Stegostoma tigrinum: one gene and its partner. The protein of the gene in region 1 purifies or fractionates together with the protein of each later gene. This does not show direct contact. Links are inferred from orthologs where the notes say so. Each region holds a gene or a part of one and is shown on either strand. Other genes may lie near its edges.

The links.
Region 2: the proteins of hspa12a (region 1) and A-kinase anchor protein 12-like purify together in Homo sapiens (affinity purification with mass spectrometry; 3 studies listed by BioGRID and IntAct, with this or other methods). This does not show direct contact. The link is inferred for Stegostoma tigrinum from reciprocal best matches to the Homo sapiens genes HSPA12A and AKAP12.

Annotation. Positions count from the first base shown.
Region 1 is NC_081373.1:20,486,890-20,501,800, forward strand, and holds the start of hspa12a (heat shock 70 kDa protein 12A), read left to right. Parts: upstream 1-6,567; 5' UTR 6,568-6,872; coding exon 6,873-6,912; intron 6,913-14,911. UniProt on the Homo sapiens protein: Adapter protein for SORL1, but not SORT1. Delays SORL1 internalization and affects SORL1 subcellular localization.
Region 2 is NC_081362.1:16,983,106-16,999,190, reverse strand, and holds the start of A-kinase anchor protein 12-like, read left to right. Parts: upstream 1-9,113; 5' UTR 9,114-9,167; intron 9,168-9,625; 5' UTR 9,626-9,681; coding exon 9,682-9,783; intron 9,784-16,085. UniProt on the Homo sapiens protein: Anchoring protein that mediates the subcellular compartmentation of protein kinase A (PKA) and protein kinase C (PKC).

The DNA of each region.
Region 1 (14,911 bases):
AAGTTTCAGTCAATTTTTTTTTTAAAAACTGTCTTTGTTAACCTCCAATAATATGACAAAAATGGATGAAATTAAAATTTAATATTTTCAGAATGATGGGAGATAATTTTGACATGGAACTAAATTGGATATCTCTTCCAAATGTGATGAGAGGAATATCACAAAGCATGGCTGTCTGAATGACCTCCTTTTGTGCTGTACGATTCTGAGTCCTCTGAACAAATTTATCTCTCATGAATTTGTAGCTCTTGCGTTGGAAAAACCACTCTGCATAGATGCTCATTTCTTTGTTTCTTGAGCAGGGTATAATCCAATTAGTGCAGAGAGGTGCGAAGTGATGGATTTTAAAAGGAAGAATGAAGAGACCCAACGTAATTAGATGGTACAATTAGAAAGGGAACATCAAGACCTACATAAGTCTTTGAAAGTAGCAGCACGAGTTTATATGAATGTTAAAGAGCAGAGAGTTCCTTAACTTTACAAACAAAAGCTGAGGGTAAGGAGCATGCAAGTCAGTTTGATGGAATACACCATCTATGGAGTAACTAATTTAGAAATTTATTGAGTGAGGAAGTAGCTGCTCTTCTGCTGTTTTTAAGATAAAGAGTGGTTCAAGAGGTGAAACGTAAGACTGCAGTCACTAAGATTTGTTGAACAAAAACCAAAAGAACTGTGGATACTGTAAATCAGGAACAAAAACAGAGGTTGCTGGAAAAACTCAGCAAGTCTGGCAGTATCTGTGACGAAAAACATCAGAGTTAACGTCGAGGGTCTGGTGATCCTTCCACAGAACGTCATGCATTGTTGTCTTGGTGAACAGGTAGGTGGTTGATTGTTTTACAGCTTTTTGTCCCAATGGAAGCTGTAGCTTAAACTAGAACCAAAGATATATGTGCTATATTAAATTCATTACTCAATATGACTACAAATAATCATTGAATGATACTTTAAAACTTGCAGCCCTAATTATATAATGTGCAGGTAATGTATTGCAGCTGTAGCATGTAGGACAATGCATTGCAACAGTGGAAAAAGTTATGTGGGAACATTGCTGCAGGAAGCAGCCACAGACAGATTAAGCATGAAAGACTGTTCATGGTCAAGGACAAGGATGAGACTGCAAGTGATGTAGGACTGGAAGTGCCTCATCCCTTGCACTTGTCCATTAGGTACAAGGTTCTTGCAAACAGTGTGCACAAGAGAATGAACTGTATGAGGGAACAAACTGCTACTCAAAATGAATAGGACTGCTCATGTTGGAACAGGGATACATAACAGGCAACCAACCTAGTAAGCTTCTTTGTGATTCACCACTCTCCCATTACCACTAGAATTAACTCATTCTGAATCTGCACAAACTATTTTGTACATCTTTTCCAACAAATACTCTCTCTTTTTTCTTATTTGGGGACCAGGGAACCTCTGTTAAGGACTGACGAACTTTGTCGGCTCTCAACTCCACCTGTACCCCTGAGCAGGAGGTAACTGATGCTTCAGAGAGTGTACCAATAAGACATTCACCTGCACCCTCTGCCAGTTCACATTCCTACTCCTCAGTGCATACTCTTTCTGGACTAGACTCAGGAGCACAATCTGGTCAGTATATTGTTCAAATATCTTTGTAGCTGGTTGAGGAAGAAACATCCCAGGTCTTTGTAACTCAAAGGGGCACTGGTGAGCAGGCAGATTCTGTCTATCACTTAAAGACTTTTGGAAGTTTCTACAAACCTCTCAGATTTCTGAACTCCAGAGAACAGAGGTAAGTCCCTTCAATCTTCCCTCACCATCTCAGGAATCGGTTTGGTGAACCTCTGTTGCACTCTTCGATGACAATACATCCTTCTGGGATCAGAACTGCATGAAATTCACTGATGGTTTATACAATTGAAGCAGGACTTCTTTACCCTGTATGTAAATCTTCTTACGAAAAAGGTCTACACACCATTGCCTTCTAAATTGTTTACTGCGCCTGAATGCTAATTTTCTGTGACTCATGAACAAGAACACCTAAGTACCAACAAAAACAGAAATTGTTGGAAAATCTCCGCAAGTCTGGCAGCATCTATGGTAAGAAATCAGCGTTAACAGTTTGGATCCAGTGACCCTAGTTCAGACCTGATGGTAGCTATGAAAAGGTTGGTTTTTATGCAGAAGATAGGGTGAGGGGAGGGAGTAATGAGTAAATGATAGACAGAGATAGAACCCAAGGAGAGAGAAGAACAGCTAGACAGACAAAGGAGTTGAAAACAGTCAGCCTGAGAGAATAAATAGATGTTAACGGGAACTATCAGGGACTAACAATGGGTTGTGTATAATAGCAGGCTATGTGATAACAAGGCCTGGAGTGTGGAAGCTGGGGTAAGGTCATGGCAGAAGGTGCCTCAAGCTCTAAAATTGTTGAATTCGATATTGAGTCCAGAGGTTGTTGAGTTCCCAAGCAGAAAATGAGATGCTGTTCTTTCACTTTGCACTGAGCATTGCTGGATCACTGCAGCAAGCCTGAGACAGAGATGTTGGCCAGAGAACAAGGTAGTATGTTGAAGTGGCAGGCGGTTGGAAGCTCAAGGTCTTTTTGTGGACAGAATATGGGTATTCTGCAAAGCAGTCACCCTGTCTATGTCAGTCCCACTTCCTACAGACAAAGGGGGTGGCCATGGGTACCTGCATGGGCCCAAGCTATGCCTGCCTCTTTGTAGGTTACGTGGAACAGTCCCTCTTCCGCACCTACACTGGCCCCAAACCCCACATCTTCCTCCGTTACATTGATGACTGTTTCGGCGCCGCCTCTTGCTCCCAAGAGGAGCACGAACAGTTCATCCACTTCACCAACACCTTCCACCCCACCCTCAAGTTCACCTGGGCCATCTCCAGCACATCCCTCACCTTCCTGGACCTCTCAGTCTCCATCTCAGGCAACTAGCTAGAAACTGATGTCCATTACAAGCCCACCGACTCCCACAGCTACCTAGAATACACCTCCTCCCACCCACCATCCTGCAAAAATTCCATCCCCTATTCCCAATTCCTTCGCCTCCGCTACATCTGCTCCCAGGATGAGGCATTCCACTCCCGCACATCCCAGATGTCCGCGTTCTTCACGAACCGCAACTTGCCCCCCGCAGTGGTCGAGAACACCCTCTACCATATCTCCTACATTTCCCACAACACATCCCTCACACTCTGCCCCCACAACAACCGCCCAAAGACAATCTCCCTAGTCCTCACATAACACCCACCAACCTCCGGATACAATGCAACATCCTCCAACACTTCCGCCATCTACAATGCGACCCCATCACCCAAGACATTTTTCCATCTACACCCTTGTCTGGCTTCCGGAGAGACCACTCTCTCCGCGACTCCCTTGTCCGCTCCACACTCCCCTCCAACCCGACCACACCTGGCACCTTCCCCTGCAACCGCAGGAAGTGCTACACTTGACCCCACACCTCCTTCCTCACCCCCATCCCAGGCCCCAAGATGACTTTCCATATCAAGCAGATGTTCACCTGCACATCTGCCAATGTGGTATACTTCATCCACTGTATCCATTGTGGCTTCCTCTACATTGGTGAAACCAAGCAGAGGCTTGGGGACCGCTTTGCAGAACACCTCCGCTCGGTTCGCAATAAACAACTGCACCTCCCAGTCGCGAGCCATTTTAATTCCCCCTCCCATTCCTTAGACGACATGTCCATCCCGGGCGTCCTGCAGTGCCATAATGATGCCACCTGAAGGTTGCAGGAACAGCAACTCATATTCTGCTTGGGAACCCTGCAGCCTAATGGTATTAATATGGACTTCACAAGCTTCAAAATCTCCCCCTCCCCCACTGCATCCCAAAACCAGCCCAGCTCGTCCCCGCTTCCCTAACTTGTTCTTCCTCTCACCTATCCCCTCCTCCCACCTCAAGCCGCACCTCCATTTCCTACCTCCTAACCTCATCCCGCCTCCTTGACCTGTCCGTCCTCCCAGAACTGACCCATCCCCTCCCTACCTCCTCACCAATACTCTCCTCTTCACCTATCTTCTCTTCTATCCATCTTTGGTCCGCCTCCCCCTCCCACCCTATTTATTTCAGAACCCTCTCCTCACCCCCTCTCTGAAGGGTCTAGGCCCAAAACGTCAGCTTTTGTGCTCCTAAGATGCTGCTTGGCCTGCTGTGTTCATCCAGCCTCACACTTTGTTAACCCTGTCTACGCTTCATTTCCCCAATGTAGAGACCTACAGAAGTTGCCAGACCTGTTGAGATTTCCCAGCAACTTCTGTTTTTGTTTCAGATTTCCAGCATCCAAGTTCATTTAAGTTTTTTTTTAATCTGGTGACACCTAGGTAAATTTGGATATTGACACTTTCCAATTTCTCACCATTTAAGAAATATTCTGCATCTTTCTTCATCCCAGTAAAGTGGATAACCTCCCACTGGTTCACATTATATTCCAATTACCATGCTCTTGCCCACTCACTCCTGTCTAAAACCCCTGAAGACTTTTGGCATCCTCCTCACAACTCACATTACCACCAAGTATTGCATTATCTACAAACTTGGAAACATTACATTTTCCAGCAGATCCAAATCATTCTTGTAGATTGTGAACAGCTGGGGCCCAAGCACTGAACCTTACGGTAGTCCACTGGCCACAGACTGACATATGCTGACTCTCTGATTTTTGCTTGTTAACTATCCTCAGTGTTATGTGCTTTAATTTTGTTTACTATTCTCCTGTATGGGACAATATCAAAAGCCTTCTAAACATCCCGAATTGAGGAAGGGTGACTCGACCTGAACTATTAACTGTGATTTCTCTCCACAGATGCTGCCAGACCTGCTGAGCTTTTCCAGCAATTTCTGTTTTTGCCTTCTTCACTACTCTGTCTACCTGTGACTCCACCTTAAGAAACTCTGTGACTTCACCTTCAAAGAACAATGAACTTTCACCCGAAAGTCTGTTTCTTCAGCAACACATGCCAGGACCCTAGTATCAAACATATAGGTCTTGCCTTCAATTGCATTACAAAAATGCAATAACTCATTTATTTAAATTAAACTCCATCTGTCACTTTTCGATCCATCTGATTAAGGTCCCATTGTATTCTGTGACAACCTTCTTCACTGTCCTGTCCATTGGTAACCCCCCAGAATGTTGACAGTGGGGAATTCAGTGAAGGTAGTGCCATTTAATGTCAAGGAGTGATGGTTAGATACTGTCTTATTGGTGATATTCATTGCCTCGCATTTGTGTGACATGATTGTTGATGAAACCATACCCTTTGTTTATGAAAATAGCTGTTTTTTTAGTAAAGTGTTTAAAAGCCCCAAAGCCACTTTGACAGCTACTGAGAGAAGGTGAGAGTGAGGGAATGTAGTGCTATGTGAATAAGGGGACAAAATGGAATGGTTTGGGTTCCTGATCAGTGACGGGATACAGATGGCAGGGTGAGAGGGTTCAAAGGGTCAGGTGTTGGAATTAGGCATGAGTGTATGGTGGCAGAGGGGTGGAGGAGGTCAATTTGGGTGTTTGGAGATAATGAGACTGGTTATAGTCCATGGGTGGGCATCGTAGTGTATGAGGAGATTGTGAGTTTGGTATCAATGTGGGGTCGGCTGGGTCGACTGGGGTGCTGGTCAGTGTGAGTGATCATTGTGGAACAATCATTGTGAGTGATTGAGCTGGAGCTCACTGGTACAGTTAGGCACGATTAAGGGCGGGTTTTAACGTTCTAACATTTCTTGGCTAGTTGGTAAGGTACGTTGGGACTCTCAAGTCTTCGACCATACGGAACGGGGACTACTTCAGAGGGTTTCCGTCATCCGGTAATTGCCCTTCGCAAGTTTAAAACTTTCCGGGCAATTACTGTGTCCTCAGTGTGGGCAGATTTTGACAGGTCCTGATGCGCTTCTTTTGAGGTACGCCCGTTTTCCGACTGCCTGGATCCCGGAGGTCTGGGCCCAAATGTCGAAGAGTTACCCCCAGAAGTGGAGGGTTTTTTTTCCTAATTATTTTAAGCCACAAGAACTGATTTGGAAGTGAAACCTACTGGAAGATGGCATATATCATATATGATTCTGGATCAGGAAAGGATGGCAGCGTTTAACCAGACATCAGAGGGACTTAGAGCAGCTGTGTGTACAACATTGTTTTCCTTCAAAATGTTTCCTATATATTTTTAAAAGTTTTTGCATAATACACAGGATTTAAGATACAAAACTAATAGCACTATTAACTTGAGGACATTAGAACCAAGAGTCTTGCTACAGTGTATTTCTGCAATTAAAATCTCTTCGATTTAAAACTATTGCCGTGTACATTTCACGGGGAACAGTGTTAAGATTGACAAGTACAGTGCAAAATAATGAAATCTGGAGGATCTAAAATAACCGGATCAATCTCGCGCAGTTACTGGGCGATTTTAATTGTTTCTCTTGCTGTGTGATTCATGCTGGCAGTCTGCTGCCGTTGCTCGGTCATTTACTGCAGCATGGGAAGCCCTTCCCTGCTGATGCTGCTGACACTGTGTATGAACGCACTAGGGAGGAGGAGCTCTGCAGAAACATGAGGAGTAAGAGTGCAAGCAGTTCATTCTTTCTTTATGTTTGGGTTAATTTCGGCAAGGAAACCTTTTGAGCAGAGTTAGGGTGGGGTTGGGGGGTCAAAGATTAGAACTATTACTAATCTGTGTGTATAAAAGACTTTGGGAGAGAGAAGGGAAGGACGACAAAAGCTTGTTATAGTAGTTTGGTGACAAGCTGCGATACAGACAGATTGTAATATTTGTTTTCAATGGCAGTGACTGCACTGTGAGCTAAAGATTCTGCTAGCCTAATGATTAATAGGTTTTAAAGACTGCCGATTTTGACTAGATTCACCACAATGTCTGAGAAGGAGTCTGTGACTGAAGGCCACACTGCAGGTAGGAAAAATTTTACTGTTATGACGCTGCATTGGCCTGCAGTGATACTGCCAGGACCCACACAGTACTCGTAGTCTTTTTCATTCGCTGCTGGTTGTTTTTATCTCTAGGATCCTGACTGGATGTAATATCCTGTTAAGTCTCTCAAGCTTCACTGCAGAGCCCAGCCATTGTAATAGTCACATGGATGGGGGACTTGTGGGATTCAATGCAGCATAAAATTACATGGAGCTGATTTGTTGCAGGTGAAAAAAAACCTTGCAGCATAATCCGTTTCATTTGGCTTTTCCTCTCTTAGCCACTTACTGTGAGCGTTCAGTTCAGTCCCAATGTTGGAGCAATCCGTTTTTGCCCCGATATATGTTTTAATCTCAATGATCGGATTTACGGTTTTGCTTTTAAACAATCCCTACATGCAGTTACAATTATAAATCGTGATAGTGCAGATTTCAAAATTACTCACCCTAATGCCGTGTCGTAGTGATTTCGATCAAGGCCACTTTAAAATGAGTTCTCAGATAAAACTGACTCAAATGTAGGAAGTAGCATGTCATAAGATTCAAATAATGGTTTCGATCTTTTAAGTCGTAGACATTTTTATTTGGTATTAAATATTGTTTGTATCCTGAATGAGGCAGTTAAAGCTGCAGAGAGTACAAAGTAGCTCAATGAGAAGGAATTTCATCACTAATCGTTTTAATAAAATGATTGGGAAGGTGGATATTTTAACTTGTCTTCCCAGTTGCTGGAACCTAAAGCACCTTCACAGTCGTGATATCATTCTCAGTCATCTGTGTGAGCTTATGCCAACTAAACAGCTCTCCACAACATGGTCAATCTCCAGCTTCAATGTTCTTTCACAGCAATGTCTAGACACCAGGCCTCTACTTTGGGGCCTCCCAAAAGAATGCCGATTCGAGGAGGAACAGTTCTTTTGACTTGGGATCCGTGTATAACCTAGAGATCACAAAATTTCAAATTATTAATGCAAAAAATATAACATCATTGTCGATATTCAGAAGATAAAATAGAAGTCACTGAGCAAAAATTGTTCCACTTTCATTTGCTTTACCATTGAAACTTCAAAATAAATTATTAATTAGAAAATTAATTGAAGCAGAATGGTCGCTGAACATTAGTAGTCTCTTTTGGACAAGTTTGCACCTTGTTTTTTAGTATTAGGGTGCTCAATTGTACTGATTTTTAATTATAAAATGACTGACTGCTGTGATTCTTTTCATCTGAGTAGCTTAATGGACTTACATCATAACAAAAATTGAAAATAAAATCAGCAGGTAATGCCTATTCTACTACTGTATGAGTGAAACCTCACTGTCATAAGCATGAATATAATAATAGTGGTTCTGTAGACATTTTGGACACACTTGCTGTATACAATGAGAAATATTACAGAAAACTGAATAGATACATTGTAAATTGAATAGAAGAATGTGTGAGATTCTAAAGATTTCTAGGTAAAAGTTTTACTGTACTTTTTTTGTTGATATATTTTCACCAATACAAAAATCTATAAGATAGTGAGTGTCAACTGAGTGCACAACGCATCATCCTCCGACACTTCCACCATTTACAATCCGACCCGACCACCCAAGATATTTTTCCATCCCCACCCCTGTCTGCTTTCCGGAGAGACCACTATCTCCGTGACTCCCTTGTTCGCTCCACACTGCCCTCCAACCCCACCACACCCGGCACCTTCCCCTGCAACCGCAGGAAATGCTACACTTGCCCCCACACCTCTTCCCTCACCCCTATCCCAGGCCCCAAGATGACATTCCACATTAAGCAGAGGCTCACCTGCACATCTGCCAATGTGGTATACTGCATCCACTGTACCCGGTGTGGCTACCTCTACATTGGGGAAACCAAGCGGAGGCTTGGAGACCACTTTGCAGAACACCTCCGCTCAGTTCGCAACAAACAACTGCACCTCCCAGTCGCAAACCATTTCCACTCCCCCTCCCATTCTTTAGATGACATGTCCATCATGGGCCTCCTGCACTGCCACAATGATGCCACCCGAAGGTTGCAGGAACAGCAACTCATATTCCGCCTGGGAACCCTGCAGCCAAATGGTATCAATGTGGACTTCACCAGTTTCAAAATCTCCCCTTCCCCCACCGCATCCCTAAACCAGCCCAGTTCGTCCCCTCCCCCCACTGCACCACACAATCAGCCCAGCTCTTCCCCCCCCACCCACTGCATCCCAAAACCAGTCCAACCTGTCTCTGCCTCCCTAACCTGTTCTTCCTCTCACCCATCCCTTCCTCCCACCCCAAGCCGCACCCCCATCTACCTACTAACCTCATCCCACCTCCTTGACCTGTCCGTCTTCCCTGGACTGACCTATCCCCTCCCTACCTCCCCACTTATACTCTCTCCACCTATCTTCTTTACTCTCCATCTTCGGTCCGCCTCCCCCTCTCTCCCTATTTATTCCAGTTCCCTCTCCCCATCCCCCTCTCTGATGAAGGGTCTAGGCCCGAAACGTCAGCTTTTGTGCTCCTGAGATGCTGCTTGGCCTGCTGTGTTCATCCAGCCTCACATTTTATTATCGCAGAGTTATATGTTGGTGTGATACCCACGCAGTTGATTAGCACAAGAATAGAAAATTTGAGCTGGAATGGAAAGGGGTGTGAAATCCTATTTTGGCTGGGCTGTAAAATGGATGGTAGCATATCAACCACTCTTTACACACCCTGATCAATTTTACTTTCCAATTAAGTCCATTTTCACTTCAAAATTTGAATGCTATCCCTTCATTATCCAAAATCAAACAAAGTACATAAGAAGTTGGAATTGAAGTAGGCAATTTCATCTCGGAGCCTGCTTTGCAATTCCACAAGATCATGGCCATTCTTCCAGCTCATGAGTGAAGTTAATGATTAGGGTAAGATACTAGGGGAACCTTGTGCATCTGGAAATACACTCTACCAATAAACCAGCAACTTCAAGATTGAAAGGAAGAGAATTAAGGGCTTCAAAGTGTTCTTGCAGCAAATATTGAAAATGTAAATTTGTCTTAAAAATTCCATCAATGTGCATCACACAAAAACAGAAGGTTTGTTGTTATTTCCAATCTATTAAATAAAAATGGAAAGAACACGCTGGAAGTCAGAAACAAAAACAGAAATTGCTGGAAAAGCTCAGCAGGTCTGGTAGCGTCTGTGGAGAGAAATTAGAGTTAATGTTTCGGGTCTGGCGGCCCTTCCTCAGAACTGATGCTAACTAGGAAAAAGTTAGTTTCTATGCAAAAGATAGGATGGGGGAGGGAGTAGGTGGAGATAGAATCCAAGCAGAGAGAAGAACAGTTGGACATATAAAGGAGCGGATAACCATTAGCCCAGGAGAATTAATGTCTACTAATGGGGACTCTATATCCACCTTCGCTTTCTCCTTATCCCTCACTCCCCACCAACTCTACCTTCTGCAAAAAAAATCTTCCTAGCTACTATCAATCCTGGGGAAAGGTCAATGGGCCTGAAACATGAGCTCTGCTTTCTCTGTGCAGATCTTGCCATATATGCTGAACTTTTCCAGCAACTCAGTCTTTCTCTCCCATCTCCTGATGGGAAGATGACTGGAACCAAGTGTCTTTCATCAAATTACCAAGTGACTTATCTAATTAGTTACTGTACTACAAACTTGCAAAAGCAATTTGGGATAACTCTTGCTGGCTAATAATTCTAGCTTCGATGTGCTTCCCCACATGATGTAATCAAGATTGGGCAAATTGAGCATTATGACACAGAGTTACCCCTGTGATGTAGTAGGCTACAATGTCTTCAATCTGACTTTATTCCATTTTTTATGTCAACCTTTCTGATGGTAATTTACACTGCAATATCCAGAGAACTCATTTTCAGGGTGCAAAATGTGCAAAATAAACAATGGAAATCAAGTACAAATAATCAGGGCCCAAGGAAGTCCCAGAGCATAATTTATGATTCCTGAGGTCCTTATTGATTTTTATGAAAATTAAAGTTGAAGCCATCAAACTATCATTTATGCACAATAAACACAGTATGTTTTTTAGCAAATGTGATTGTGGAAGATTTTATCTTAAAAACTAAAGATTCTAATGCTATAAAAGATTCAAAGTTGCAGAGAATACAACACACACCCCAGAATACAGAAAATTCAAAGTAATCACTCATAGATTGCTACAATTGTCTGAAGTTGTGTCCTGCTAAAAATTTGAATGTAAGTCTACATTCATTTAGAAAAGTTACAAGTGCAGCACAAACTAATTTAAGTCACTCATGCAAATTTTCTCAGAGAAAATAGAGCAAATTCACTCCTAAACTGAAATATTCTAAGAGATTCTAAGTCGTATTTTGCAGTCCCAGAATGTTCAGCTGTGGTTCAGCTTGGATGAAAACAATTTTAGATAATCACAAGGATGGCAGAGGATGACATAGGTCATTTGTTAGCTCATGTGGCCTTCCAAGTGACTATGAAACTCCTACAATGTGTGACAGTATACTGAAGAATAAAATTAAGCCGATAAAATACTTGGCTTTTAATGTTTGCACCTTTAGTAAAAGTCACCATAACCTTGCTATCTCATTAGTGAGGGGTAACTACGGGTGACTTTAACCCGAAAGTCACTGCACCTCAAGCGAAGGAAGAGGAAGAAAAGGAGAGTGCTCCATTATAATTTCAGCTGGTGGAGGAATTGAATTCACGCTGTGGCATCATTCCACATTGTAAGGCAGCCATCCAGCCAACTGACACAACCATCCCTTCCATAGCTCAGGCTGAATATAACACTCATTTAAATGAAGATTAATGCTGAGCAAAATTTCCTCCAAGCTGCAAACCTCCTTTAGTCAGCAAGAAATCATTTTCTTACCCTACATTTACAAATCTACCAATATTTTGACTTCAGTGAACATAATTTAGGTATAAGAAAAATCAGAAAGATGATTTCTTAAACTATGTATGATTAGAATTGAAACAGGAACTGTTTTGATGTCCCTTCCAGATAAATATAATGCTGGCACTCATTATATGACTCCATACATGAAGAACATTCGATTGGTTGAACTAGTGAGTTCTTGATGTCCATGAAACTGTATCATAGAATGTAGTCAGTACCTCAAAAGGGAAAGAACATCAGAGCATTAGTAACTTTGATTTTAAAAGCTTCTGTTTTTTTTTAGTAAATTTACACTCAAACAGCTCCTGTGATGTGGAGGTCACCTTCTACTGATGGTTAATGGTCATCAGTCATGAATATCACTATTCTGAGATCATTGTATTCCCCTGATGGAGCTAATACTGCAATCTCAACACAAACTCAAAGCACTTGGGCTGAACGTGTTGGGAATGGAAATATCAACTGATGCAGATCCACTGCAGAAAGAACATTTTCTTCTCTACCAACTGGCAAAACAAAGGCCTATTGATATTTTTAAAAATAACTCTGTGAGGCATATTGACTAACTATTATATTGAAATGCATTTATTTTTACTTTTCAGTAGCATATTAGTAGAACCTTCTCCTATTTACAAATGGGTCAATCTCTGAAAATAATGTACAACCAAATACATTTGATTGCAAAAATTAATGGATAGCAAACTGAAGTAGCTATAAAAAACAATAACTTCTCTGAAGAAGTCAGTGTTCAGAATGGTTCAAATTATTGAAGTAGTGCATCTTGGTTTGCAGTAAGTTGCGGTTAACAGTCAGTGTTTAAATGAGCAGAGTTACGGATCAAGCTTATCAAAATTTAACATTCCTATAAATTGTACACATTTGTAGTACCCATTCATTATAGCAGTGATTTCTATCAATCCAGGCTACATGTGTGGGACGTACCAGAAATTCAGACATGCTGTTCAGGATTTTAAAGCCAGTAAAGAGCAGGGTGTGCCCAGCATTCAGGCATGGTGGGCAAGGCAAAATGGATTAATGCAGTCATACTTTATATGAGGCAATACTTCTTATTGCTGCTGTCATTATTTGAACACTAAACATATGCATCAAATTATCTTCTTTGCTATTTTCATTTTAAATGTTATTGTATAACATTGCTGAAAATTGCCTGCATATTATCAATTAGAGAAAGATGGTGTCAGAGGCACTGACTGGTTCTAATAACATAGTTTTAGCGTCCCATTTAAAAACACATTTAAACTCCAGCCTTATCTCCCACTGAGCATGATGTTCTTCAGCTAATAATCTTGGCGAGTTCTTGCATCTGGCCTGTGTGCAATGCTGGGTAGCAGACAATGCAGTGCTGCTGTAAAAATGTCAGCATTCCACTGCTCCACCCTTTTTGCTGAAGGAGAAAATTATTCTGAAGCAATGGTAAGGCTGGAAGGAGATAGTAATAAATTATTCAATGCAGTACATATCTTCCTGATTGTTTGAGCAATCAAATCTATCACAGGCCATTATGATCCATTCTCCGATAGTGAGAAAAGATTGGTTGTAATCCATTTAATCCAAATATTAAATTAGAGGAATGTGACAGATACTGGCATCAAGCCTAACAAAGGTAATGCCATTTGCTCATAATTAGGACATTAATTTGTTTAAAAGTGCTTCTCAGTGGCCAAAAATCAATGGTATTTTGACCATGCAACTGCATCATCTTTGAGAATTTAAAATTATACCGAAAATTGGTAAATGTTTGGACTGGACTACACCACGGAGCAGCATCCTATCTGGTAGTCGAGCCAGCGAAAGAGGAATTTAGGAAGGAAGTAATTTGAAAGTAGATTGTAGTTTTAGTCTGATGTATATTTAGAAGGAGATTGCATCCTCCCATAGCTTTTCGAGAAGACTTAAGCCATATGTAGTGAACACTGTACAAACTTGAAAGAACAGGGAGGATATGGACATGTTGTTCTGCCCCATCAGTCCACAGTGACATCTATTCTGAAAATGAGTGACAACTTTTAATAACATTAACACACCCTGTTCCCATTTCATGTTATACCATTTCCCTCTATCAGTATTCATCCTAACACGTGAAAGCTGGTGGACACCTGCATGATCTACAGTCACTACATTGAGTGATTGTTTCAGCTCAAAGAACCTTGGCTCAAAATTAACGTACTGGAGTGGGCACTGTGGTGCATCAGGAGGAGGATAGTTACTTGGACACTTATTCTTGGAAGCATTCATGCCCCTTGGACTCGATAGTTCTCATTAGGTCTGTGGTTAGGGAGAAAAGGATATGACCACAGCTGAGACAAATATGTGGACCTGGAAGTTAGCAAAGCAGAAGCCTAAGTTCTTGTAATTGTCCAATTGGTTCAAGATATTTACAGATTTTTGTGGGAATATGCAGTACTGCAGATTGGAAGGGCAAGCTAGCCATGGGCTCATAGTGCAGAAAGCTATCCAAGTAGGGGCAGTAAAATGAAATCTGGTTTTAGGAGACCACAACATAGCTAGGATAATACATGCTGTTCTTTGCCACTGAGATTGTGATTATCAAGGTGATGTTGCTTACCCTTGTCAGGCTTACAGATACTTCTGGACTGGAAAGCATCTTGGAGTGAGGTGGGGGAGGATCCAATTGCGATGTCGTTTGGGGGTGCCAACCACATGGGTGGATACAAAGTAGAAAGCAGAACTACAAAGTTACTGACTTCTGGAGTAATGAGCCATGGGCAAATTGACATGGGGTAAATAGGATTAGAGAGCCAAATACAATGATCAAAGATTGGGTGGAAAGAAATGGTTTTGATTCATGTGGCATTGGGACAGACTTCACCTGAATTTTGCTGGGATTAGTGTCTTAGCAAGTCTTCCTATTAAGGCTATCATGAAGCTAAAAGGCTTTGCTTTTAAAAAATAGGTAGAAAAGAAAGGCAAAATATTGCAGATTCTGGAAATCTGAAACAAAACGAAAAGTCCTAGAAATTCTCAGCAAGTCAGGCAAAATCTATGTAGATTGAATCTTGGCTCTAAATTCTTGATTCTATGTTGATGATGGTTGCATGGTTGGGAAATCTGATG
Region 2 (16,085 bases), on another chromosome or scaffold:
CCAACCTTCAGAGCACCGCCCCCAGACCCATCCTCCTATAACCTACCTAATCTACACACCCCTGAACACTACAGGCAATCTAGCATGGCCAATCCACCTAGCCTGCACACCTTTGGACTGTGGGAGGAAACTGGAGGAAACCCATGCAGACACGGGGAGAATGTACAAATTCCACACAGGCAGTCGCCTGAAGGTAGAATCAAACCCGAGTCCCTGGTGCTATGAGACAGCAGTACTAACCACTGAGCCACCATGCCATCTCATATCACAAAAAGTGGAGGACTGTCCAGTCCTGCTGTGGTGACAGCCATTTTTATCTTCATTATGCTATTTGGATGAGGGTGGAAGGAAACAATGATGCATTTCACCATGTGAATCACAGACTCAGCTTCTCAATCCAGGTGGCCCCTCCCTCCCCAGTCTTATCACATTACCATGTCAAACATTGCCACCCCACGGATAACTTCATGCTTTGTCCGCCCCACTCCCCAATTGCACATCCATCCCATCCTTTATCATCTCTATATTTTGAGTTTCTCATTCCGTATTCCAACATGCTACCATCACCAGGACTGAGCTCCCCAACTTCCCTGATAAATCCTCCCTTGACTTTCAGTGAGCAGACTCCCAAGACATCCTGTGAGTCCCGCTCTTCATCGAACAGGGTAGAACAGCCCTGACTAATGAATGACTGGACCTGGGACAATCACCATATAGCTCCCTGACTGACTGTGATGACACTGACAGGTTGCACTGGACTATCAGGAGTGACCATGGCCCCCAATCCATGGAGTGCCATGAAATAGAGTCCTTGGCCCTGACCCTCCCAAGTGGCCAATAGGCTATGCCCAAGCAACTGAACTCATTTGCAGATGCTGCCCTTCCCTTACTATGTCCAGTTCCTTTGACTGATGGCTGCCTCCTTTGCTGGACTCTTCACCCCAAACAGTTTAAGACATGGCCATTTGGTTGAAGACAAAGAGTGGGTTTGCAATGTAGGCAGATAGCACATGGTATAGGTGTGTGATTAATGCAGCAACATATCCCAACCCTTTGACTAACCACTGCTAACAATCATGACAATGTACTTTGCTTTATGCCTGCTCTGAACAGCAAAGTAAAATAGAATGACTGAGAGCCTTTTGAAAACCAAAAGAGCTGCAGATGCTGTAAATCAGGAATGAAAACAGAAGTTGCTGGAAAAGCTCAGCAGGTCTGGCAGCATCTGTGAAGAAAAATGTCAGAGTTAACATTCCTCAGTTCTGAGGAAGGCTCACCAGACCCGGAACGTTAACTCTGATATTTTTCCTCACAGATGCTGCCAGACCTGCTGAGCTTTTCCAGCAACTTCTGTTTTTATTCCTGAGAGCCTTTTAGCTCTGGCTGAGGGGACAAAGTGCAAAAAGCAGGGCTGTGAACATCTAATCTCTGCTGGAATCACTTTATTTTTTTCCCAACGTCCCAGCTAATGCCCCCATTGCTCAGAAGCCAGGAAGATTCCACCAACTGTTCCTGGCTGAGGTTGAATTTAGACCCTTGTTTCTTGAAGGCCTTCACTCTCATCCTCTGTCTTCAAGCAGCTTGTCCTTCTCTGTGCTGCCTCTTCCTAGCCTGTGTCAACCTGCAGGCCATGGTTATTGAACTCTTCAGCACTCATGACTTGGAGTATGTGCCCTGAGATCAGAACATTTGAGATCAGAACCAAGGCCTTCATCATGTGCCCACAACCTCACTATAGACTTCGGCAACTTCAAATGGCAGTATAAACCACCAAAGCGAACTCAACAGCAACAAATCAATTAGCACCGATCTGAGCAGATGATGATCTCTTCGAAGATGGTGATCATTCTTCCTGCTACTAAATGCATGTTAAATGTTCAAGGCAAGATGGTTAATGACAAGGTGGACAGCATTGATATCCATATGCTGTTTGTTAATGTTCAGAGGGAGATTGTTAGTGTCTAGGGGGAGACTGTTCAAATCCGAAGTGAGATTCTTAAGGTTCTGGAGGACAGCATTAATGTCCAGGTTACGTGTGGAGGGGAGAAGATGCTGTTATCATTGAATGAGCTCAGCATTTTTTCTGATTTCCATCAAATTCAGTGAACTGAACCCACTGCATGCATTTCTCACAAAGAAATTCTATCACATTCCATGTTGGTCTTTTCTTAATTTCATTTTTACTTCTTATTCCTCTTTTTTCTTTGTCTCCACCCTTTCTGACTATCTTTTCACACGTCATGTGCACAAGTTGGGGTTGGGGAATAAGAGCATTAACATGAAGACTGCTTGACATTCTGTTTAATACTTGATGGCAAGACATTGATCATGCTCACTTCAGTCAATGTAAAATTGATGAATGGTGAGTATGGTATAGTCTACAACTGATTTCCTGGAAATATTTAACAAGAGCGTAGGGATTGAAAGGGAAAGAAAGAAAAATGAAAGGTAAAGAAACATGAAGGCCTATGTAACAAAAGCAGGACATTTGAAGAGAAAAGCAACACCTAAGTGCTTTTAAACACCACATCCCAATACTTCAGTGAAATGGAATCTTTGCAAAGCTAAAGCAGAATAAATCCACTGCCTGATCTCAGCATATTCCAAACATGCACTTAAATCAGAGCTGTGTCTCCTTCCTCCTAAGTGAGACAATATTAGTAGAATATGCATTCTGCATTTTAATAATTAAAATTCTAGTCAGCAGCTTCTGTGGCTTGGCAAGTTATAGAAAACTGCACCATACAGAGGAAGAACTCCAGCAAAGGTTGAGTAGAATGTACAATATGTACGAATTATCTCTGCTCCACATTAGCAGCTCCACACCTTTCTTCATCTAACTCTATTGACATGTCCTTCTGTTGTTTTCTCTCTTGAACACTTGTCTGGCATCCTGCGAGATGTATCAGTGCTATTTCTCTTAGTGTAATAGCAGATCATTCGATCACTCTATTCCATGAAGAACTTTCTCCTGTATTTTCTACTGAATTTATCAATGAGTATCTTCTACTTGTGGCTCCAAGGTTTAGTTTTGCACGCAAGTAGAAATATCTGTTCCATTCAATCCCTTTATAATTTAAAAAAGTCTATCAGGTCACCTCCAAAATTTTTCTTTTGACAAAAGGAACCCCAGTCTGTTAGTCTGTACTGTTGGTTAGGTCACCTTAGCTTGCAATCATCCCCTTATGTTTTTGCGCCTTCACTTATGTTTATATATCCTTATTACCAGACTTTGCACAGTCCTCCAAAGTATGTTAACATGGGCTTCAAGTTAGGTTTTTTTTGTTAACTTTGAGTTAATAGTTATAGTGCTGTGGCTCAAAAAGAAACACTTGTATCAAACAAAATACATTTGAATGGTTGCTTGCCAGTTTTGGCTAAAAATAGCCTGGGAATTTTAAACAAGGAACTAGTAGCAATGAAAATTAAACAGTGCTCCAGCAAGTGAATGGGGAAAGGGATCTTCAAGCAAAGAACTGTGGTTAACCTCAGGACATCCCATAGTACTTTATAGCGAACTACCTCTAGAACCATTGTCACTGCTGTAATTTCGGAATCATGTCAATCAATTTTCACACAGCAAGATCTCACATACAGCAATGGTGTTGGTTTGATGAATATTACTGAGTTGTAGAATGCTTTAGCACAAAAGGAGGCCAGTTGTCTGAGCATACATGTCAGCTTTGATTAGAGTTCCCAGTTTCATGTCCTACATGCCCCTTTTGGACCAATGCCTTATCACTGCTACCCCTACAAATCAGATTGGTAAAGATCAATGTTCTGTAAGTGTCTACCATTCTTACTAAAGTAGCAGTTTAGTGGGATCCAGTAATCGACAAGGTTGCAGTTTCAGCCTGTATGGACTCATTTGCAAGGCTGGTTAGAAGTTCTGTGGTGGAGGCTACTTTCTCCGCCTGTTAGAAATTCTCACAGTTCCCCATACTGCCGATTCATTATTGTCTCCTCATTCGCCTCCACAATTTGGTCAATATCTGGCCAAGTTTTCTGAAATTCCCCCGGTGCTCATAACTAGGCAGAATTACTTCTACCACATCTCAACTAACACTGACAGACAGCCTGTCGCTGCCACCAAAGCTTAGCACTGGTGCCTGGTGGGACATCCCATGACAGTACACCTTCAGAAAGAATGAGATTCTCTAAGAAACTGTCCACATGGATGTCCTATGTTACTTGCTGTACAGATGAAGAAGGTCCTGGTAATCGAGGGAAAAGTGACTTAGTGGCGGCAATGTCACAGTGTTGACAATCACTGTTCTCAGTACTCTCATAGTTCATTGATGACATGAAATCAATATGTCAGAGTTATTTGCAATCCAGGCCCCAGCTATTTGCCAGCTCCCTGACTCTCCAAATGGGAGAAAATTACTGCAGATGGTAGAACCTGTTCTGTGAACAACAAATGCTGGAGATCACAGCAAGTCAGGCACTATCCATGGACAGAGAGCAAGCTAACCTTTTGAGTCTAGATGGTTTTGCATCTCTGACTGAGTGTGATGCAGACATACTAGCTGTCACCATGTTGGCCTCCTCTGCCTCAGTGAGCCTGACTGTTCATGTCTGCCACCCCCAGTTTTTTCCCTCTCCTTTGCATTTTTGTTCTCTTGTACCAAGAATGAAGAAATGGTCTAGGGAGTAACTGAATGTTGGATATTCAACCACTGGATTCAGTAATTTTGATTAATTTGGCTAGAAGAAGCATGCATCACATTGGACAAGGGAAGGAGTGAGTGTGGACAATAGATGGGTAGGTGGAGGTGATAAACTGAGATGAATGTGAAGGCTATGTGCAGCAGAATGGTGAGAGGGTGTGAGGAGTAATGAGATGAAACACACTAAACAGCTTGTTGGTGACAGCTAATTTTCTTTATCTCAATGCTGAGAGAAAGTATGCTTCTTCTCCTCCCAGCGATAATTCCAATGGTGCATCATTGAATCTAAATGCTATCCTTGTTCAATGTATGAGCTCCAAGCTATGTATTGGTCCCTTTAACAATTATTGAAGTTGCAGTATGGGAAGGCACATCAACTCCTGTGCAACATGGTCACACAAAACTCAGAAATCAAAACTAACTGATGTAATTAAATTGAGATCGCTGATTCGGACATGCTCAACTCACACAATTCCACTCCCTTTCATCGTATACGAACTATATTCAGATTAACGTTCGCAGCTATGTGACAGAGGAGGTGATGTGGTCAGGTTAACTGCAACACAAATAATGATGCAACAGCAGGACGTTGAACACTAATTGCATTCGGAACAAGAAAAAGGAAAATTCAAAGGACAATTAACCATAGTGGTGTTTTGAGGGTTACAATTGTTGTATTTGGGCTTGACTGTGGTCACAATCAATGGATTAACTGTAGCATTGTTCAGAGGATTGACTGTAGTATTATTGTCTAAATAGAGCGTGGGAGAAAGCACAGGTTTCCATTGTGAGACTCAGGAAGCTAGACGTATGAAATGGATCACATATCATACCAGCTTTTAATTGCTCCATGTCCAGCAGCACAAGGGAGAAGTGTTAGATGAATTTGAAAAGCCTAGACAGGATTTAAATTATTGACAAGACTTGGAGTTTACCAAGAGCTAAGTGTTGTTGGAATAATGAAGTGAAACCTAGAGCTTCACCATGATTCCCAAATTCTTCTGAGACAAGAATTATAAATTTTGAATAGAATAAAGTGTTAAAGCTAATGTTACCTGCCTGATCCAAAATCAGTAAGAAGGCAAAACAGAAAACCACAGATTTGATCATTTCATTCCATCAATAAGAATGATAAAAATATGCCTGAAATGCATGGACAGCATAGGCACAGCCGATACATACATGTTCAGAAAAGAAAAGTGATACTTGTTTATTCTAGATGAATTTTGTGAGGAGGTTGCTGAATGAGACCTGAATGGAATGGAGCGCCATTTGGTATATTTGAATTGTCAGAAAATAAAATACCACATGAGAAACTTTTTTTTAAGATTAAAGGGATGGCTTGAAGATGGAAAGCAAAGGGTAGGAGTAAATAGATGCCTTTTGGACTGGAAACTAAGTGCATGCCTCGAAGTTTTATGTTTTGACCTTTCCTATCACTAGGAAAGTGATAGCTAATGTCCGTAACTCATTTGAACATTCAGTGAATAATTAGGGAAGACAAATACTGAATGTGGATCAATTTGAACATTAAGAGGGATAATTAGGAGGAAGGCAGCTAATTTTAAGATAGCAATCAACCTTTATCCAAACTCCAGCTTGTGTTGGGCTTGTAAACCAAACCATACAGCAAACTTTGAAAATGTCTATTTCTATAAGTTAGTATCAAAGACTGTACTTTGAAAAGCCATGTTAAGCTACTCATAAAAAGTGATGTTCATTTAACAGGAAAGAATTTATTTTATGCTGGTCTTGCTACAAATTTGTTACCTTGCTTCTGGTAAACCAAAAACGTTGGGTAGCACAAATATTATCTAATGTCTTCTCACTGCAGCACTAAGCATAAGTACCTGAGGGAAGATTTTGTGTTTCACTGGTCAATACAATCAAAGCTCATTTTTGATATTATCATTTCTGGAGGAGTTTTTAGCTCTGTAACTAATGTTGAAGATAACAGTATCTATTCAACTGTTTTCCATCTCTTTTCAATCCAACCAGAGAATTACTAATTAGAAAGATCTAAGTTTCTGCCATTGAAAAGGGCATCCCGATGCACTGTAATGAAATGTAATAGCATTACAGGAGAGTTAACACATCAGGTTAAAATGATATTCCCCAGGAGATGAGGGTGGTGATGCATGCCAGTTCCCCATGCCTATTTTGGAACACTCCGGGAAGTGCCTTTTCCGAGTCTTTACATCACTCGTCGATGTTGTGTACTCTCTAGCATCACCACAGACCAAGGACCAGATGATACTGGTGTTATATGAGGCTGGTTGTTATCGTCATTATCAGCGGGGCCCTACTGATGTTACTGGCAAATTTGTAAGGACTATGTCTCGGTGGAGGATCTTATCTCACCGTTTGCGGTTTTTGCTCACTTGTCACTGAAGAGTTGTAAGAGTTCGAGTGTCAGTGACAGAATGAGTCTTAATGTCGTATACTGGCTCGATAACAACTTCTTCCATGAAGGCAGTTGCATCAGCTGTTTCCTCGCCAGTCTCAGTTATCGTCTTTGTCTCTGCCCAGCTTTATGTCTCGATAACTTTTGTTGTAGGAGGTTTGGTGGTAATGCTTATCTCAACAGCAGGGTGGGCTGCCCTTACGGTGCCTTCTTCAACGTTATCTATGTCATCCAATACAGGGTGAGCCAGCTCCTGTCAGACCGATCTCAGCTCCGTGTATGGTAGGAGGTAATGTCTCAATGTCGCTGTCTCGATCTGGACCGAGATGGACCTTGTTGCGGATGTTACACATGTATAACCGAATGATTTATCGCAGCTCGCGGTTGTGGACAATGCTGCGGGGAGGTTGTTTATCCGGGACACTTCCCAGCCGGACTGCTCCAGTGGAACTGGAGACTCATACTGGTTTTTTGAGTGTTGGTCTGTATAGACCATGGCCGTCTCGTACTTTTTCTGGTCGTTTGGTCACCCAACAGCCAGGACTGTTGGGCTTACTTGCGGGGCCAACGGGGAGGCACGACACGCACTATGCGCCAACAATATGTCAAAACGTCATAGTGGGCAACTAAGAGAGTTTAAGACTTACTAAGAATGCTTAGCCTTAAGAGAGGCATTGTTACTCCCCTTGCTGTGACCACCTCCTACTCCTTCTCCAAAGGTATCTGGCTGTGGTGTAGCTGTGTAAAAGAGGCAGGCAGTTGGGTTGAATATCCCCTCAGTTGTCTCCTACTCAGACCCTGTTGATGGCCACTTTTGGCCAGGTGGGGAAGCCTAAAGCAGGAGTTTCTGATCCATGCTGAGTGGCCAAAGATTGGGAGTGTTCGACAGTAATTTGATCAGAAGTTGAGGAACAGCCTTTTCAGACAACGAAAGAGAAACTGCAGCCCAACACATACTACACAAACAAACATGCCTTCAGGCCACAGAAATAACAGGCATGCCTGGAGTCAATGAACTGAATTTGCAGTCTTTCACATGGAACTGACAAGTCTAGTATCTGCTACATCATATTCCCAATTCACACAGGGAAAACTTTGGAGAGTTTCTCACCATCCCCATCAGATGGCAGGATGGAATCAACTGAGGGTCTGAAGTATATGGCAATCTCTTCAATTAGTAATCCCATGAAAATTTCACTGGGCCATGTCGCTGACAATTTGCAAAACGTTGGGCATTATTGAAAGTCCTGCTTTACAGTAGTTGAATGTTTGACCTGTACTTCTGTCCTTCAGATTAGGTAAACTGAGGGATCGAACAATTCACATTACCACGGAATTTGAGAACTAATCAGCAAATGGCTTTCCTCTGTTTGAGTTTGAATCTCGGAATGACAGAGGAAGTGCCTGTACTGTCAGTGTGGCTGCCTTTCACAGTCAGCATTGTTTTAAACCAGAGCAGGGCGGTTCTCCCCCAGTCCTCAACACTTAGCCCCAAACAAAATTAGTAAAACAGATTTCTTTGGTCATAGCCACGTTGCTGACTACGGGATCTTGCAATGTGCAAAGCGGGGGCTGCTATTCATACAATAATAATTAATTATGCTACTAAAAGTACTTTATTGTTGTGAAACATTTTGTGATGAACTAAAGTCGTCTGGAAAGGCATCATACAAGTGCCGACTTTTTTCTCTTTGCTCAGTTTCTCTGCGTACTCCTTACAAAATCTTTATCATTGGACATGCGCTTCTGCCTTCATTTACGCAATGAACGGCTACATGTGTTAGACGCAGTCACTAAATCAGTTGAAAGGCAGTACGGATGAAGGTAGTAAGAACGGTGCGGGTTGACAACTGTCCTTTTGCAACAAGGTTAATATGAATCCGAATAGCAGACAGTAAATCACAGCCAGTCTCAGCACATCTTCCTCAGTCAGGGGTCTGTGTACGAGGTGGGGGGAGTAGAATGCGGTTGGCTGCTGCTTCCTTTCGTGAAGCTGGTCCCTCCCTGCCTCGTTTTCTATTGGCTCAGAATAAGATTTGGATCACGGAGAAGAAAGCAGGAGATCGAGGAAAGCAGTAGAACGCAGTTTACAGGTTTGAGTCTGTAACGGGAGTGGGGGGGCGCATGGTAGGAGACTGCAGAGAGGAACCACCCGGAGTAATCTGACTCAGGAAGGAACCAGGGTCTAGCCTGACCCCAGGGGGGAGAGGGACAGTGACCAGCCCGACCCCAGGGGAGAGAGAGGAGGGGCAACAGTGACCAGCCCGACCCCAGGGGAGAGAGGAGGGGCAACAGTGACCAGCCCGACTCCAGGGGGAGAGGGAACAGTGACCAGTCTGACCCCGGGGGGGAAAGAGAGGGACAGTGTCCAGCTCGACCCCAGGGGAGAGAGGAGGGGAACAGTGGCCATTCTGACCCCGGTGGCGGGGGGGGGGGGGAGAGGGACATTCTCTAGCCTGACCCCAGGGGAGAGGGGGCTGTTGGTGGGGAGGGGGCTCGGATGGTGAATGCTGAGTGGTTTGGCGAGCTGATTGCGGGACTGTGCCCACAGGCCGAGCCAGGATCTCTCTGTCTGAGCGGGTGAGCGTGTCCCTGAAAGTCCGGGAGATGGGGGGCCGCGTCTCGGCGCAGGAGCCCGATCAACTCAGCCCGAGTGAGGAGCAGGAGAGCGGCCAGGAGAGGCAGCACACCGAGGCACTGGACGGCAGGGTGAGTGCATGGCCTGTAGAGGTGGGGGAAGAGACACCACTGGGTGACTGCCTGGGGTGGGGGGTGGGTTCAGGAAGGATGTGGGTGATTTACACCCCGGCGGGGAGAGAGACTGGGTCTGGACTGTTCTTGCTAACAGCTGGGAATCCCAAAACTCGCAGTTGCAATGGAGCAACTTTTACAGGACCCCTCCTAATCTCTCTCACTTCAGTGTCTCTCTCTCTGCCCTCCCATGTGTCTCTAGACCGCCCTGGGGGTAGGCTTCGTGGCTGAACTTGGTAAGGGTCTTTGTAAAGTGTAGTAGGAAAATTTACAGCCTGCCATCAGTGAAAATGCCGAACCCCCCCTTGGGGGCATTCATAATATTCTTAGGTCAAACTGTAAGAGTTACCGAGGACAACGTGAACATAGCGAATATTGATAACCAAAGCAAAAACAGAAATTGCTGGAAAAGCTCAGCGGGTCTGGCAGCATCTTTTATAACAAAGTATCTGGACTTTGGCTCAATCTCTAATATAGAGCATAATAGTCTTAGTTTTAATTGAATGACCCGCATGTGCTTTTAAATTCCTTTATTTTTATTTGGGTATCCTTCCATCCAAGATGTTTTATATTTGGAGCTGCAATGCTGATGCTGGCTAATTCACTTCGGTCAGCAGCGGTCTTCAACCCCCAAATAGGGGGGAGAAAGTTGACCCAGGTCCTCAGTCAGGTTAATGAATGGGGCGGGGAGCTATCATCAGAAAAGACTGTTACAGTCACAGGCAAAGTTTAACTGGCGCCCAGGCAGGCTGTCTGGTTAGAGTTGCAAAGGATCTGTTACCATATTGGGAGTGCATCGTGGAGCATCGAGCTGGATGAACGAGAGGACAATGAGGATGGTATGTCTGCAGGCCCTGTATAAAACTCTCTACTCCTTCATCCCAAATCGCTGGAAATGAAAAACTGAGTCTGCAATACAGATTCCTGGGTAAAATTATCGTTAGCATTTCATTAGCTGGAATACTGTACTATTCCCAACCTCTCACCACTGCCACTCCCTAAAAAAAATCAATTTGGTGTGTTGTAGGTGGATTAATAGGAGGAAAAGTAGGGGATTGAGCAGTGAACTAGTGTGGGGACTATATTAACAGAGAAGATAAATAAAATAAAGCTTAAATATACCCAAATCTTTTCAAATGGGAATGTAAAGCTCACCCCCATTTGTGAGTGGTTGAGCTGTATAGCCCTTACAGGAAGGGAAAGAGAAAGTAACAGAAGGATGTGTAAAATGTGATAATGTGGGAAGAGTTTTACTTTGGAGGACAATAGACTCATTAAGCAACGAGACCTGTTTCTGTGCTACAAATTTGATGAAACTGACAGTGGATCAAGGTGCAAAGGAAAGGTTCCAGCAACAGAACAAAATATTATGTTAAAGAGTAGTATGGCTGATTTCCAGAAGTAGCTTGCTGCTTTAGCGGAATGTAAAAGTAGCGCTGCTGAAGGAAGGGTGGGGAATAGAACTGAAGAGGGACTTGAGTGTGTAATTACACAGATTATAATAAGGACAGAAAGTTATTAAACCTGACTGGTATGCATCCCAGAGTGCTGATGACTGGGACTGACAAAGTGGAGGATTTGTATTATTTTATCAAAAAATCTTGGAAACTAACTGTACCACAATACCGAATGTAGAAGAACTACTTAAAATTGAGAGTCAGGGGCTTGTTGACAAAAAAAACAGAAAAGGCTCTGCAGGTCTGGCAGCATCTGTGAAGGAAAAAGCCAGCATTAACATTTCGGGTCCAGTGATGCTTCCTCAACCGATGCTGCCAGACCTCCTGAGCTTTTCCAGCAACTTCTGTTTTAGTTCTTGATTTACAGCAACTGCAGTTCTTTCAATTGTTGACTGATTAGTTTTACCTGGGATGGGAGTAACTGTCTGGAGTCTGTAATCTAGAATAATATTAGTGAATGTTATGGAGTCCCACCTAATGATTAGGTCAGTGACCTTTGCTCTGAATGAGAAGGTGCTAGAGAATTCTTTTATCTCTACTAGATTAGATGTCAAATCTTCTAACCTTGTGAATAAAGTGCACGCTAGCTCATTAAGGTTTGGTGTTAGCCCTTCCAAGATCAGTATGTCCTTCCTGGGTTGTAGTGCTCAAAGCTATATGCGGTGCTACAGAAGGGATCTGAACTAGTACTATACAACTGGAGGATGACTCCCTAACCCCTAAATTCCAATTTTCTATGCAGAATTTTGTGCAATTTCTATACCTGCACATTGGCTTTCTTTTTGTGATTTCTGTACGTAGGCACCCAGATTATTTTGTCCTTTAACATTTGGTGATAACAAGTGCTGGAGCATGTCAAGCTGATGATTATAGGAAAACGTGGATGACAGAATGGACCATGCTAAGTAATAAATTGTGTTGGTTTAGTGGATTGGGTGTTTGGGGGAGTCGGAGGGAAATTGCATGAACAATAAGACGTTCACCATGAAGCTCCTGAGAATTCAACACCTTTGTAGTATTCTAAATTTTACAATTTGCGTCCAAAATGCCTAAAAACATTGGGGTTTCAAATTTTCAGTTGAAGATTTCTGATCATGAAAGGCATTATTCTGACAGTGACTTCTTAAAAAATGTACAATTGTGCCTGAATTGTGATACCTAGTCCCGACCGTTTTGTAGGTAAACACATCAGCAAGGTAAGAGACTTGCAAATTCAGTGTATTTACACCCTTGTGCACATCTCAGTCTTATGGACCATTATTCTGAAGCCCAGCTTGTTGCATCAATAAACGTGACTGCCATGCTCTAAACAGCTATGTCTTGAGTGCAGGACCAGTGACCAGTTAATTGGTTTCCAGGTGGTGACATGAGGATAGTTTTCCAGCAAGGAAAATGGTCGTCTTTGTACAGTGGCACCTTTTTCGTTTGGGCTTAAGATTAAACTCTCTTGACTGTGTATGAGTGAACATCCCACTTGCTTGTGGCTCAGTAGTTGGGAATTTAATCTTGACCCTTTCAGCGGAGACCTGCTTTCAATACGGTTAATAGTGTGTGGCTGAATTAAAACTGGAATTATTTTCTGTAGTGCCCTAACTGGTGTCTTTGAAGTTGTAAGTTCAATAGGGTAGGTGGAGAGAAGATGTTTCCACTTCTAGGTAATTCACAACGAGGGACCCATAAACTTGAGATTGGCTGACAAATCCAGTGAGGGATTCAGGACGCACTTTTCTTGAGTAGGAAGGATGGGGAGCCTGTTGTCACATCACATGGAGTGGTGGTGCACAGAGCAAAGGCACATTTTAAAAGAGGAAGCTAGGCACGTACATGAAGGGAAGGGAATGAAAGGAGATGTTGACAAAATTAGATGAATTAGGGTGGGAGGGATTTATATGGAGTATAATCACTGGCACAGAGCTGTTGTGCTGAAAGTGTGTTCCTTATTGACTCCACTCTGGTCCTTGCCAAAGGACTTTGGATTTGAGTCAAATTATTGAGCAGCATGGGGGAGTGGGGACAGATTTTATTCCACATATCGGTCATGCAATATGTATCAGTGAGAGCGTCCATGTATTAAAAACTAAAACTAACCATTCATGGCCTAAAATTCTTTAGTGTGAGGAGAGAAATTCCCATGACCTTTTGCCTTCTTCCCTCCTCACCTCTGCTCCCCAGGGAGTGAGGCGTGGAAGGAAGAAAAATTATAACACTTGCTTCTTGCTTGTTCTCACTAACTTAAAGATTAGCTCAAATGCACATTACAAAGTAATGCAGTTTGCAGTACAACAGCTGGTATGTTTTGGAAAATGTAGTTAGTTCCTTACTTGGAATTAGTGAAGATATGGAGGCAAGTACAGTCCTTACAGTTTAACATATATGGAGTGATTGAAACAGCGCTAGTGTATTTAAAGGCAGTCTTAATATGTGTGGGAGAAGGGAGATAGGACTGTGGAAAGAAGAGGAATTTGAATAGGAGTAAGCTTGTATGGATTATGAATACCTAAATGGGGCTAATGGCTTGCTTCTGTGATGCTGCTTCTAGGATTTATTGCAATTTTGATTCCAGACCCAGGCTATTTTGTGTCAAGGCCTAAATTTGATTTGGGTAAGCATGGATGTTGGTGCATCATACATGGCATGTATCTTGTAAATCCTTGATCCTGAGTGCTCTTTGAGACACTTACGTCTGCCAGTTTAACTGCATTGGAGATGTCTACATTTTAAAAAAAACAGTTTTGAATTGCTAACAGTGATAAGGTTATAGTCTAACCTTCGTACGTCTCCCATTGTCAGTTTTCTCAAAGAAGGGACAATCAATCCTGACTTACGCGAGAAGGTTTGGGATTGAAATGTTAAGTTGTGCTCCTAAAAGAGTTCTATTTCTTTTGTTGGATTTGTGCTGATTTGAGTAAACCTGCTAGTTACAGAAGCTTTGGACACTGGGACAACGTGAGCTTTCAAAGATAAGTTGGAAAGATTTTAGTTAGTAATGGTCTAGAAATAAAATAGGTGATTGAAATTGTGGTATATATCCAAATTAATGCTGGGGCTAATTCAAAAGGGCCGAATGGCATCCTGTTGCTATGTGCCTTTCCCAACACTATTGACTTCACTACTGGACCTGTTTTATTGTACTCATATCCAGTCTCATTTAAATTGTTCTGTATTGTTTTGTTAAAAATAAGCACCTGCCTTCCAAATTTTCTCAGTGAAAGTATGTTGTTTCATCCAAGCTCCAGGCAATAACTAGTTGTTCCGTTTTAATATTCATTACGCTTCCAATAAATGTTTTTTGTTTTTGCCTTCCACCCAAATTACATTTGGACTGAAACCACATGTATGTCAGTCTTGACGTGAGCATCTTTAAAACCTGCAGAAAATTTTAATCTCCTCAATTTGTTCAGAATTTAGATTTTAAGTAACACCGCCTTTTGTTCTCGAAGGAATTTGGAACAATTTTGGACTGAATTGGTCTCTTTCAAATTTTAATCTAACAAAATTCGTATTTCACTAATGGTGGCTCAGTGGCTAGCACTGCTGCCTCTCAGCACCAGGGTTCCAAGCTTGATTCCACTCCTAGGTGACTGTGTGAAGTTTGCACATTCTCCCCATGTCTGCTTAGGTTTCTTCTGAGTGCTCTGCTTTCCCCTGCCACAGTCCAGAGATGTGCAGGTTAGGTGGATTGGCTGTGCTGAATTGCCTTTAGTGTCCAGGAACAAAAACAAAGTTGCTGGAAAAGCTCAGTAGATCTGGCAGCATCTGTGGAGGAGAAAACAGTTAACGTTTTGGGTCCAGTGACCCTTCCTCAGAACTCGTGTCCAGGAGTTGGATTAGCCATAGTTAATATGGGGTTGTGGGGATAAGGGTCTGGGGCTGGGTGATATGTTCTTTGGGGGGTCAGTGTGGATTAGATAGACCAAATGGCCTCTTTCCATACTGTGTAGGGCTTCTATGATTCTGTTTACTTATTCCTAAAAGTAGTTGAGGATGTGGAACATTCTGTGTTAACAATTATTACTACACATTGAATTACTTTACTTTGGTCTTGTGTTCATTCCAGTAAAAAAAAATCTGGAAATTCTTCTGTGGTCCCAGCTGTAGCTGTACTGATTTCAAATCTTCATGTCTCTTACCCGAATATTAATTGGAGAAGATTAAAATTTGCTGCAGATTCCAGTGACTGTTGGCAATGGTGCCTTCAGCTACTTAAGCGATGAGCTGGAATTTGCTCCCTCCGCTCCTGCATCCTCTGATCTCAACTTTAAGTATCTGCCCAAGTTTGGTGCAGTCACATTAAAGTGAAAGTTGCCATTTTATAATGACACTTTTTTTGATTATAGTAAAATATCCCCTGGCATTCCACAGGAGTAATGTTCGGCATTTGTTAACACTGAGACACATGAGATATTGGGATAGCTGGCCAAATGTTTGCTTTTGAAGGTATGTTTTAAGCAATGTCCTAAGAGGAGAGAAAGGCGAAGAACTGTTGAGGAAAGAAATTGCAGAGCTTGTGGCCTGGCAGCTGAAGGCACAACCAATATTGTTGCGAAAGAAATGAGAGGTCAGAAATCCCAGAACACTGGGATCGTGTATGAGCAGAGGACATCAGAGATGTGAGAAGAGGGGCAATAAGGGAGACTGCCAAGGGATTTGATCACGTGGGTGAGAATTTTGAATTAAAGCTATGGGCCAGAAACATTCAGGTGAAAAAGCATGGGAGGGTGGACCTAAGTTCTGCAATATTCTGCCTATACTATAAACCTATTTTTCATAGTTCTCCAAGCTACTGCTAACTTTTGTCATGGA